Arabidopsis thaliana: one gene and its partner. The protein of the gene in region 2 interacts with the protein of the main gene of each other region in a pairwise test. Each region holds a gene or a part of one and is shown on either strand. Other genes may lie near its edges. The genes, in order: ABF1 and SNRK2.2.

The links.
Region 1: the proteins of SNRK2.2 (region 2) and ABF1 interact in a two-hybrid assay, tested with the Arabidopsis thaliana proteins (one study listed by BioGRID).

The regions. Positions count from the first base shown.
Region 1 is NC_003070.9:18,397,880-18,403,205, reverse strand, and holds ABF1 (abscisic acid responsive element-binding factor 1), read right to left. Parts: upstream 3,201-5,326; 5' UTR 3,046-3,200; intron 3,020-3,045; exon of another isoform or gene 2,423-3,019; 5' UTR 2,381-2,422; coding exon 1,382-2,380; intron 1,265-1,381; coding exon 1,193-1,264; intron 1,108-1,192; coding exon 1,053-1,107; intron 930-1,052; coding exon 844-929; 3' UTR 589-843; downstream 1-588. Other genes in the region: AT1G49730 (Protein kinase superfamily protein), read left to right, coding at 1-1, 80-588. UniProt on the Arabidopsis thaliana protein: Binds to the ABA-responsive element (ABRE). Could participate in abscisic acid-regulated gene expression.
Region 2 is NC_003074.8:18,741,087-18,746,430, forward strand, and holds SNRK2.2 (SNF1-related protein kinase 2.2), read right to left. Parts: upstream 3,072-5,344; 5' UTR 2,819-3,071; coding exon 2,642-2,818; intron 2,412-2,641; coding exon 2,337-2,411; intron 2,238-2,336; coding exon 2,136-2,237; intron 2,060-2,135; coding exon 2,006-2,059; intron 1,911-2,005; coding exon 1,797-1,910; intron 1,609-1,796; coding exon 1,516-1,608; intron 1,397-1,515; coding exon 1,292-1,396; intron 1,183-1,291; coding exon 1,084-1,182; intron 1,010-1,083; coding exon 719-1,009; 3' UTR 508-718; downstream 1-507. Other genes in the region: LBD28 (LOB domain-containing protein 28), read right to left, coding at 3,916-4,512. UniProt on the Arabidopsis thaliana protein: Together with SRK2I, key component and activator of the abscisic acid (ABA) signaling pathway that regulates numerous ABA responses, such as seed germination, Pro accumulation, root growth inhibition, dormancy and seedling growth, and, to a lesser extent, stomatal closure.

The DNA of each region.
Region 1 (5,326 bases), on a different chromosome or scaffold from region 2:
GGTTTGGGAGAGATACTGAACAGAATAACTTGACTACTTTTGATGGAAGCTGAGTTTTAAAAACTTGAAGTTTTTTCAGGTTATGTAGATCCGGAATATGTAGTAACGCAAGAGTTGACAGAGAAGAGTGATGTGTACAGCTACGGAGTTGTGTTGCTGGAGCTCATAACCGGGAGAAGAGCAGTTGATGAAGGTAGGAACCTTGTGGAAATGTCTCAGCGGTTTTTGTTGGCGAAATCAAAACACCTCGAGTTGGTAGACCCGAGAATCAAAGACTCTATTAATGATGCTGGAGGAAAACAACTTGATGCAGTTGTGACGGTTGTGAGATTGTGTACCGAGAAAGAAGGCCGGTCTAGGCCATCAATTAAGCAAGTCTTGAGGCTGTTGTGTGAAAGCTGTGATCCGGTGCATAGCGCATTTGCTAAAGCGGTTGAAGAAGAGATAGGCTGGGATAGTAGGAAGAGAAGCAATTTGAGAATTCAAAGAGGTGATTCCCGGATCTTTGGTCCATCGTCTAGTACTACTTCCAGGTCACATTACAGCCGGAGTTTACCTCACTCTCCAATTAACGGATTTTCTTTCTGAGTTAGTCACATCTTCTCTATAGCTAAATCTGAAAGTTTTACATATGTTTATGAAAATTATGAATTCATATTGAAAGCTCTCATACTCTACACAGACTGCACTCTTAGTTAAATTCAGCTCAAAAGATTTCTACATTGTAAGCGTCTCTGTAATTTCTCCTGTACAGTAGCACTATCTTCTATTACATATTACTCTCCCAGTGTCTTCCTTTTGAGTGGTCCTGTATTACATTAGCAGGTTCTTCTTGCTTTGACTTCACCTTCTTACCACGGACCGGTAAGGGTTCTTCTCAAGCATTGTCTTTTGGCCAGCAATGGAGGCTGCTTCGAAAATTCCTTTAGCTGCAAATTCAAGTACTAGTATCAGTGAACTGTGTGTCATCAAAATGACAATAGAGCTACATTTAGACAGACACAAAATGTCTGGTAATGTAGAGACAATGATGGTGTATACATGAAATATACATAAGTAGAGGAAAAACGTTATTACCTCACTATTATGGGTTTTCATTATTTCAGCCTGCAACATAGAGAGACCGCAGTTAAATAACTGAGCCAGCTAGACTCTCTATGGAGAAGCAATAAAAATGGTAGAAGAAAAAAACCTGTTTCTTCTGCAAATCTTGATTCACTAGCTTGAGACTTTCAATCTCAGCTTCCAGTTCCAAGGTATAAGCCTGAGGTTTAGCCAAAACATCAAAATGATTTCAAAGTTCTTGAAAAGAAAACGGTAATGGCAGTTTGGTTAGATGATATTGATATCAAAGTTTTTGAGAACAAAACGGTAACTTTACCTGTTTTCGAGCCCTTGATCTAGCAGCGGATTCCCGATTCTTGATCATTCTCTTTTGCCTTCTCTCAACAACCTTCTCCAGGCCCGTATTGCTTCTTCTTCCCCGACCAAACACGTAAGGAACTGGTGATGACCAAGTATTGTTTTCTGCACTGCTCGTCCCAGGAGAAGTAGCTGTAACAGTACCCCCTGCTCCTCCCATATTACTGTTGGCTGGACCATCTGCGCTAGTCTCAAATAAACCCCTGTTGACCATATTTACAGGCGCCGCAAATGTTACATTCGCTTGTTTTGGAAAGATAGTTGGAGGCAGTCTCTGATGTGGCTGCTGCAACTGCTGCTGATGTGGCTGCTGCTGCTGCTGCATGGTTCCACCAACTTTGAGGCCTAAACCAGGTGCTTGATTCATGATCATAGAACTATTGTTCCCGTTGAACGATATGCTGTTTTGATTCGGCTGACCAAATCCAAACTCCAAACCAGCAGCACCGTTGTTAGCATAAAACCCGCTACTACTGTTTTCGTTCTGCTGAGTATTATCTTCTTTAACAACGCCAGCACGGAGTAAGAAATCTTCCAGAGTCATTTCCCCTAAAGTCTGTTGCCTCTCAAGCGCATCCGTTCCAGTATTCCCATTACTACCTTCTTTCGAATTCAGGTATTTCCAGACTTCATCGACAGTCTTCTGACTAAGCGTTCTAGGCAAGGTCAAGGAGCCTTGCCTCTGTAAACCATTTCCTCCCGGAACAAAACCACTAGGTCCCGGGGCTGCAACCGAAGATGTAGTAGTCATAAAGGCTTGAGTATCCTCAGCAGTCCATATGTTCTTGAGTAACTCATCCATATTCATAGACCCAAAATCTTTCCCCGGCTCACCTAATGTGCTCTGAAGCTCATCAAACGTTAAGGAATATAACGAAGACTGCCTCGCCAATGGCTTTGACTCATTCCCTCTAGAAGTATCGCCGCCTAAGTTGTTGATATCAATGTGAGTACCCATACTTCTTTTCTGTTTCACAACGGAATCACTTCCTTCCAAATTCTTCAGTGAAAAAACAAACGAATCAGACCCTTTTAGCTTTACCTAAGAGAGAACAAGACCAGAAAATTGAAACTGGTTTAGGAGTATAACACACCACACAACTATGTGTCACATAGTGCTTTTAAGTATACTTGCATAAGAGCAAGCAAAGAAGACCAAAAGCAAAAGGCAGGAACGTTCATATAAATGTCAAAACTTTATAAAGTTTTAGCCAGAAGCAATCAATCACAAACATATACATAGAAGTGTGTGATACAGAGAGTATAAATTGGATCCTTGGATTCAGAGAGAAATATAAGATTGGATCAAAATCCATAACTTTGACCATTCTTGAATGTATCTAAAAGATAGATCTATAAAAGATTCTGGAGTAAAAGCAAGATCACACAAACCCTCAAGAAGAAAAACAAAAAAGTCTTATCCTTTAATTTCTTTAGGAATAGTTACTTCATTACTACTACTACTTGATTTAGAACATAGAACCAAAAAAAAGACAAAACAGATATTATGAATCGGACCCAAAAAAAAAAAAAGTATAACACTTCAGGGGATGTGATAAGACAAAGACAGATTCGAGAAGAAAAGAAAACGAAAACGGATAAACAAAAAGAAGGAAGCTTTACCTAATATTATAGGCGATTGCTGAAAATAGAGAAGAGCTGCGAGAGAGAGAAGAGACGACAAGTGTGTTTGTAGTAGCTTCGACACGAACTGCCATTTTAAGGGGTTAAGCTTTTTCCTCTTATGGTTTTTTATTTTATTTATTGTTTAGATATTTTGCTTTCATTTTTTGGTAATAAACTAATAAATATCCCGTTTTAATGATTATTAAACATAGTCACTTAATTTAGCTGACAACCACGTTCATTTTTAACCAATAAGAAGCTGTAACGTGTGAGAGCTTTAGTCGCTGATTGTGTCCTTTGCCTTGTTTGTTTTCTTTAAAAATGGGATTAGATCTGATACAAATATCCATATTAACCTTGCCATTTAGACATTATTTCTGATCTTAATTAACTAACCGAAGAAAGTTTGGATAATTATAGTATTTCAATTTTAATTCGCCAACAGAAATTTTTTAAATATCGAATTCTGTGTTGTAAACTGCACAATTTTACTTCAATTCGACTCCAAGAAAATTACTAAAAAGGAAATTGATTTTTTTTTTACTTATGAACCGCAGTAAATTTTTGTTTGATTTTTAGTTGGCTAATTTTTTTTCAAAACCAAAATTCTAAAAAATCAAATCCTAACTCATCTGAAGTTTATGAATGTCTAGTCATATATTGTTGGTGTTTACCGCGATCAAAGAGAAAATCAAACCACAACAATGTTCGTAGATGGTGGTAATCTATGCACATGACAAAATACTCTATATACAATCGAACAAACTACTAGACTAGAGGTTTTTGGTTAAAATTTTATTTTGCATTTAAATAATTTTCTATGCATATAAAAAAATAAGAAATGAAATGGGAATAAAATTATAGTATAGTATCATGTCGGTCGGAACACCAAATGATTAAATTATGTGCCAAATTAATTTTAATATCATATTGTTGTTACTCATGTAAGATATTTTGTGTGCTTGATAAACTGTGATTATTATACATGAATGATGTTGAAACAACGGCAGAAGTGGGTAGTGATTCTTTTTGGGTCCCATCATCCCAATGGTGTGCGAATTTTGACATCAAGCAATAATCATTATATCCAAGCAACCCAAAAGAAGAAGACTTTTAAGAAGATTTGCGTCGAGTTTAATACAATTCACTTCCAAATTTGGAAATTTTGCCCTCTCCTCACTTGGTAAATGGTATGTTGATGATTTCTACTTCTTTATAATTTGATAACTTATTTAAAAGAATTGTCTACTTTCGTGTCACCGTTGGGCCAGCGTATAGAATGAGCATCAAACCATGATAGAGTTCTCCTTCATTCTTTCTTTTTGTCATATATGTGATCATTGGTATTTTTTTTTTTGTCAATATTAATTTAGATTCATACGAGCTAATTCCGGGAAATATTGTTTACATATGTAATCATTGGTATTGTAATGCTAATTTTGTTTCTTTTTTTTTAAAAACTTCCGCTTTCTTGTGGAGCAAAACATATCAATTACCCATTCAACAACTTTCTAGTCTCTACTAACAAACCTCACGACTTTGTTAATCAAAAAAGAAAAATTACCTCTACTACTAGAAGTAAAAATAAATGAAAAGGAAGAGTTTTCTAATGGGTAAAAATCCAAAAAAAAACCTTAACTAATTTTTATTTAAACGTTTAATACCCAATTGTTTTTTCTAAGAAGAAAAATACATGAAAAATACATGAAATAATAAAACTGTGCAATTTAAATATTCAAACAATTAAATATTGTTATTTTCATACTCACGATCTGACAACAAAAATAAAATTTTAATTTTACCCTTATCATCTCAATTAACTATTAATTTTTTAGATTATATGACATTAATTTTCTAATTTTGGATAAAATAATTTTATTAACATATTAGTTTATGGTGTCTAAAAATTTCAAATTTTCATTTTTATTATAATTATTTTATTTTAAAATTATTTAGAGAAAATAAAATATTTTTTAAAGTGGGCGGAACAATCTCCGCTCGAATTTAAATCTTTCACGAATAAAACTATTTTTGAAAAAATCTGAACCCGAATCTCATCGTTTTTCTCAAGATTTTTGACAAAACTATTTTTGAGATTCGGGTTGTGTTTTTTTTCAAAAAAAGTTTATCCATAAACTAAAATCCTAATATTTTTCTCCATCAAAATCATAGAGTCAATTCATCAACAATGGCAAGATACAAACTAAGTATTGTAATAATACTATTAATGTGAACGTTTTGAAGTAATTCGAAACATAAATTGTTTTTGTAATTTTGT
Region 2 (5,344 bases):
AATATCTTCTCTTTAGCTTTTTTTTTACAGAAGAAGATTTTTGTCATGTGTCAAAAGTTGATCATGAATTGGAGAGAAGTAGTAATGATTCCTTGATGAATTATCGTAATGCCAATAGTCGTTGCCAATAGTCAATAGACATTGCATTACCAAGCATTCTCCACAGAAAACATGTCTTTTACATAATCTAGGGTAGAAAATATTTATACAAATTTTTCATCCACACACAAATCTACATTATGGTATCATAAAATGCTAAATCTTTTCATCAATATAGACAGTTTAAGTTTTACTAATTGCAAATCTTAATCAAATGTCTAGCGGCATGATCAAAGCTGATGATCATAAGCCATGTCCTCCATCACGATGTCGAATAACACTATACATGAAATCGTGTGTCGTGTGAAACATAGATCATAACATTCTTAACCAAGACTCAAGCTAAGCTCCATCTCAGAACCTTGTGGGTTAGTTACATTTCTTTTTCTAGTACCATATCATTTGTATAAAATGTGCCAATAGTTATTAAACAAAGAGAAATACATAGAATATATTACATATTACATTACAATACATATATATGTATGTGAATCCAAAGCTTGTAGAGTAAAAAACAACAAACGATCCAAAAATGAACGATGGAGTGCGTGGAGCTAAGACAAAACTCCAGTGGTGTGTCTCAACAGTACGGACAAAACAGACTTTGTCCTCAGGAATCTCAGAGAGCATAAACTATCTCTCCACTACTGTCAACATCAATCTCAGATTCGGAATCAAAGTCATCCATGTCATCGTCTAGATCAAGATTATCCGCCATGAAATCATCGAGGCAACGATTACGAACAGTCGGAATCGTAGCCTCCGATATTATCTGCATAATCGTGTCAAGGCTCTGCATTGGCTGCTCAGGCTCTTGAAACTGACTTCCCATTCGGTTCTCATCCATCAAATCACCTGGTAGATTCTTCAAGAACCATTTATCGGATGTGATCTCCGGAATAGTGATTCTCTGCCACATTGGATCTCTCAGTTTGTCTATTTAGAACTCAAAGAACAAAGTTTTCTTTGAAATGTAAAACTTACTGTTGCCGGATCAGCCACGAAGATCCTCGATATTAGATGGCGACATTCTGGTGAGAGGTGTAAGTCCTCTGGGATCGAGTATGTGACACTAAGGATTCTCTGCGTTTTAAAATCAGTGGAGAAGCAAACATATACAATCAACGTTTGAAAGATAATGAGTTTGTGAATGATGATGAATGAGACAGCAAGAACAATTGAAAAACATTACTTGTATTGTCTTTCGATAATCTCGTGGCTCCTGTGGATCCTCGAATGGATAAGCTCCAACCAACATTACATATAATGTTACACCGCAAGACCATACATCTGCAAGCTGGAAAAATGTAACACCAGCTATTTCAGAGGACAACTCAAAGAATATTTGTGGTATAAACAGTCATATGGATAAGCTGGTTTGAACTCTAGACAGAGGAATTGGTCTCATGGCCTTACCTTGCCATCATATTCCTGTCGAAGAAGAATCTCTGGTGCAATGTATGCAGGAGTACCAACAGTTGACTTTGGTTGGGAATGAAGAACAGAAGACTGAAGAAAAGAAACGCATAGTTAATACTTGAGCAGAAATCAAAGCGAAAACAGACACTTAGTAGGAAACACATGTAGGTAAAGAGCATGAACGATAAGAAGCACAACGAGGAATCACAAGATGTCCCCCGCTGTTCTGCGCTTGGCCATACAGTAGCATATATAAACTTAGAATTCAGAAAACAAACCTTGAGAGAAATAAATAGTACCTTGGAATAACCAAAATCACATATTTTCAAACGAGGTGCCGGACTTCCATCTAACAATGTATTTTCCAGCTTCAGATCCCGATGGCATATTTGCTTCACAGGAAAATCAAACACAGAATTAAAACCAGAGTGGTATACACGAGAACGAGAAAAGTTCAAGTAAGTTGCAAGAACACTGCTCTGCGTACCATTGCATGACAATAGCTAACTCCAGATATAAGCTGCTGAAAGAAGAACCGAGCCTATACATAAAAAAACTTAAAGATCAGTAGTCACACATCAATACCACAACACAGTACGATAAATCAGAATCCAAACCTCATCTTCACTAAACCGTCCGGCATTACAAATCCGCTCATAAAGTTCTCCACCAGCAGCATATTCCATAACAATAGCCAAATGGGAAGGCGTCAAAATCACCTAAACCATTACAAAAACACACACAAAACAAACTCTAAACCACACTGACTTAATACACAAACACACACAGAAGAAACATCAAGGTGTATTATATTATACCTCTTTAAACCTAACAATATTAGGATGTCTCAATGATCTATGATTGATAATCTCCCTCTGAACATTTTCATCAATCTGCAAAACAACCATAAAAAAAAGTATCATCATTTATTGAGAAATATCAAAACTTTTCAAAAGCATTTAATCATAGTAACAGTAAGTAACCACCATTAAAGACACTAGATCAACAAGCTCTAAAAAGGAAAGCTACTAAATCTGGAAACTAAAAATAATCGATCATCAATCAATCACTAAAGCCTATAAATATCAAATCTTTTTTTCATTCAAAAAAAAAAAGACGAAACCTTTTCTCCTCTCTCGATGTATTTAACAGCAACAAGCTCCTTGGTGACTCTATCGGTCATGAGACGAGCAACGCCGAAATTACCAGAGCCAATATCTTTAACGAAGTCGTAACGATCACTGTCGTGCATAATCGGTAAATCAATCGGCATAATCGGTGAATTAGTCGCCGGATCCATTTTTTCTGATTCTTCTCTTCCTCTATTGCTCTTCCTAATCACATCAGATTAAGTCGAAGAATCTTCTGGAGTAGCTGGAATCTAGAAGAAGAAGAAGGAGAAAAATATCTAAGGAAGGATATGAATTTGGGGGAAAAAGATGGATCAACGACGAATGAGAAAGACAAAGGCAATTATTGGTCGCTCTCTAAGTTAGATAAGAGGAGAGAGATGTTTGCAACGACACCGTTTTCTTTGTTTTAGTTATCTGATTTGATACGACAAAGGCCGCCGCGTTTTGGTGATTTTTTTTTTTTTTTTTTCAAATATTTTTTTTTTTGGTTTTTTTAGGTATCAATATTAATTTTACTGTTCTATATTATCAACACAATTTGGTTGCTCCTAAAATTTGTAATTGAATGAGTACGAATTGTGAGGTGAGTAAATTGTTATGTCTTTCTTAAATTAATTATGTGAATGTCTCATGTATATATGTATTGTTTTACCTTCACTTGTACTTGTTTACTTCCAAAATATCCCAACTTTATGTGGGTGATTGTGGTCGTATTTTGAGCCAAGTCAGAAATTGTTTTTGTCACGAACAAAAAAAAGCTTCTTATAGATCATATAAGACGTTTTCACGTACACAGCAATGTTACATTAACCTTTTTCTAATTTTATAACTCTTGTCTAGTCGTTTGTACATAACTACAAGTGCACCTTTATTATTTTGTTATGGCAGAGTGTAGTTCTACACAAGGTCCTTGTTGAATGTTGGAGTATTTGTAAAAGAAATAATCAAATTGACTAAGGATCCTGATTAGAAATGTTAAGGTTTACGGCTTGAACTGCCGCTGAGTTTATTAACGTAAAGATAGTGATGAGGCAAAAAGTACTTTTTCGAATCTTAAAAACCAAAAAAAGCTCCGTTACCGGGAATCGAACCCGGGTCTCCTGGGTGAAAGCCAGATATCCTAACCGCTGGACGATAACGGATGTTTTGTTAACTAAAAACAATAATTGTATTTATATCTTAATGTAGTTATACAAACGACTAGACAAGACTTAAAAAGATTTTAAAAGCTTACCATTGTTATCAAGATTCAATATGATAATGATTAATGTAGGTTAAAGCATGGTCCAAATTTTTGATAAGAACTTTTGTCACGGTAACTCTCCTCATCGTGCTGCATCTGCGTCTCTTGCATTTGAGCGCTTTGTGTGGATGCAAAACGTTGAGCCTCGTTATACAACTGTTGACCCGTTAAACAACCACCGTTATTAGGTGTGTGTTCCGGTATCATCATAGGATTGTTATGCATTTCCAGATTCGTCATCGAAGGTGGTGGCACAAATGTGGGGACGATACAGTAAGAGGCAAGTTCGTTCTTGACGATCGCGAGTTGTTCTTCCAAGTCTTTAATCTGACTAAGGAGGTTGTAAATGATACCCAGACAGCCATTGACCGGATCATTGGCTTGAACTTGTGCCTCCCAAGCGAGCGTGTCCATGGCAAATTCTCTTTGGCATGGGTGAAGACTGTTGATAAGTGTAGCCACATGGCTTGCTCCAAATACCTTGTGAACCGCTTCGTAGTTGTCCAGTTTAGTCGAGGGGAAGTAAGGCGCAAACACACAATCTTCTGTGCATTTTCTCCTCAGGTGCTTGCATGCCGCGCATGGTGTCGATATTTTGTCCATTTGATGAAACATCATAATCTGTGAAAGAAAGAAAGAAAATGTAATTGTACATTTTTGATCATTTCTAGAATATATACAAAATACATTTAAATATAGGATATATCGAAATACATGATGTAATTTTTTCCTTTTAAACTGAATCAAACAAACATATTTACAGAATCTTTTTCTTAAACACGAAAATCCGAAACATGAAAAAAACAAAAACAAAAGGGAAAATCGTATGCCTAGGTCTATACACGAACTGAAAAAAAAAAATCACAACCTACGAATTTTTATGTGAATTCTAAACAGTAAAGAGATTAAGGTTTCTAAATAATATAGTAATCAGAATAGCCAATCAAAATCGTGGATTGCGTTGTACTGCACTCAAATATGTTAGAGAAGGTGTGAAGATGAAAACACAAACCTCAATGCATAATAAGAAGATGAATCTAATCAAGCGAATATCACCTGATTTCTAAACCCTATATATTAATAGAGATAAAGAATGGATATAAAATGAAATCAAATCGGTATTTATATGAAAATAAAAAAGGAAGATGAATAGAGAGATTCAGTTTTTAACCTAAACACAATGCTTCTTCAAATTCTATTCCCTACTTGTAAAATGCGTTTTGAGAAAGAACCTAAAATTGATCAACACAGATTTAGGTCAAAATTTCCTACCACGCAATTTTACTTATATAGTACCAAAAAATATTCAGGTTAGTTAATATTTTTGAAAAACAAAATCTAGATAAAACTGAATTCATGATTATCCAAAAACAAAAAATATATATATTAGCTTCCAAAAAAGTAACCAATCAAAATCAACATATAAGATTTGATATCTAAATTTTAATTA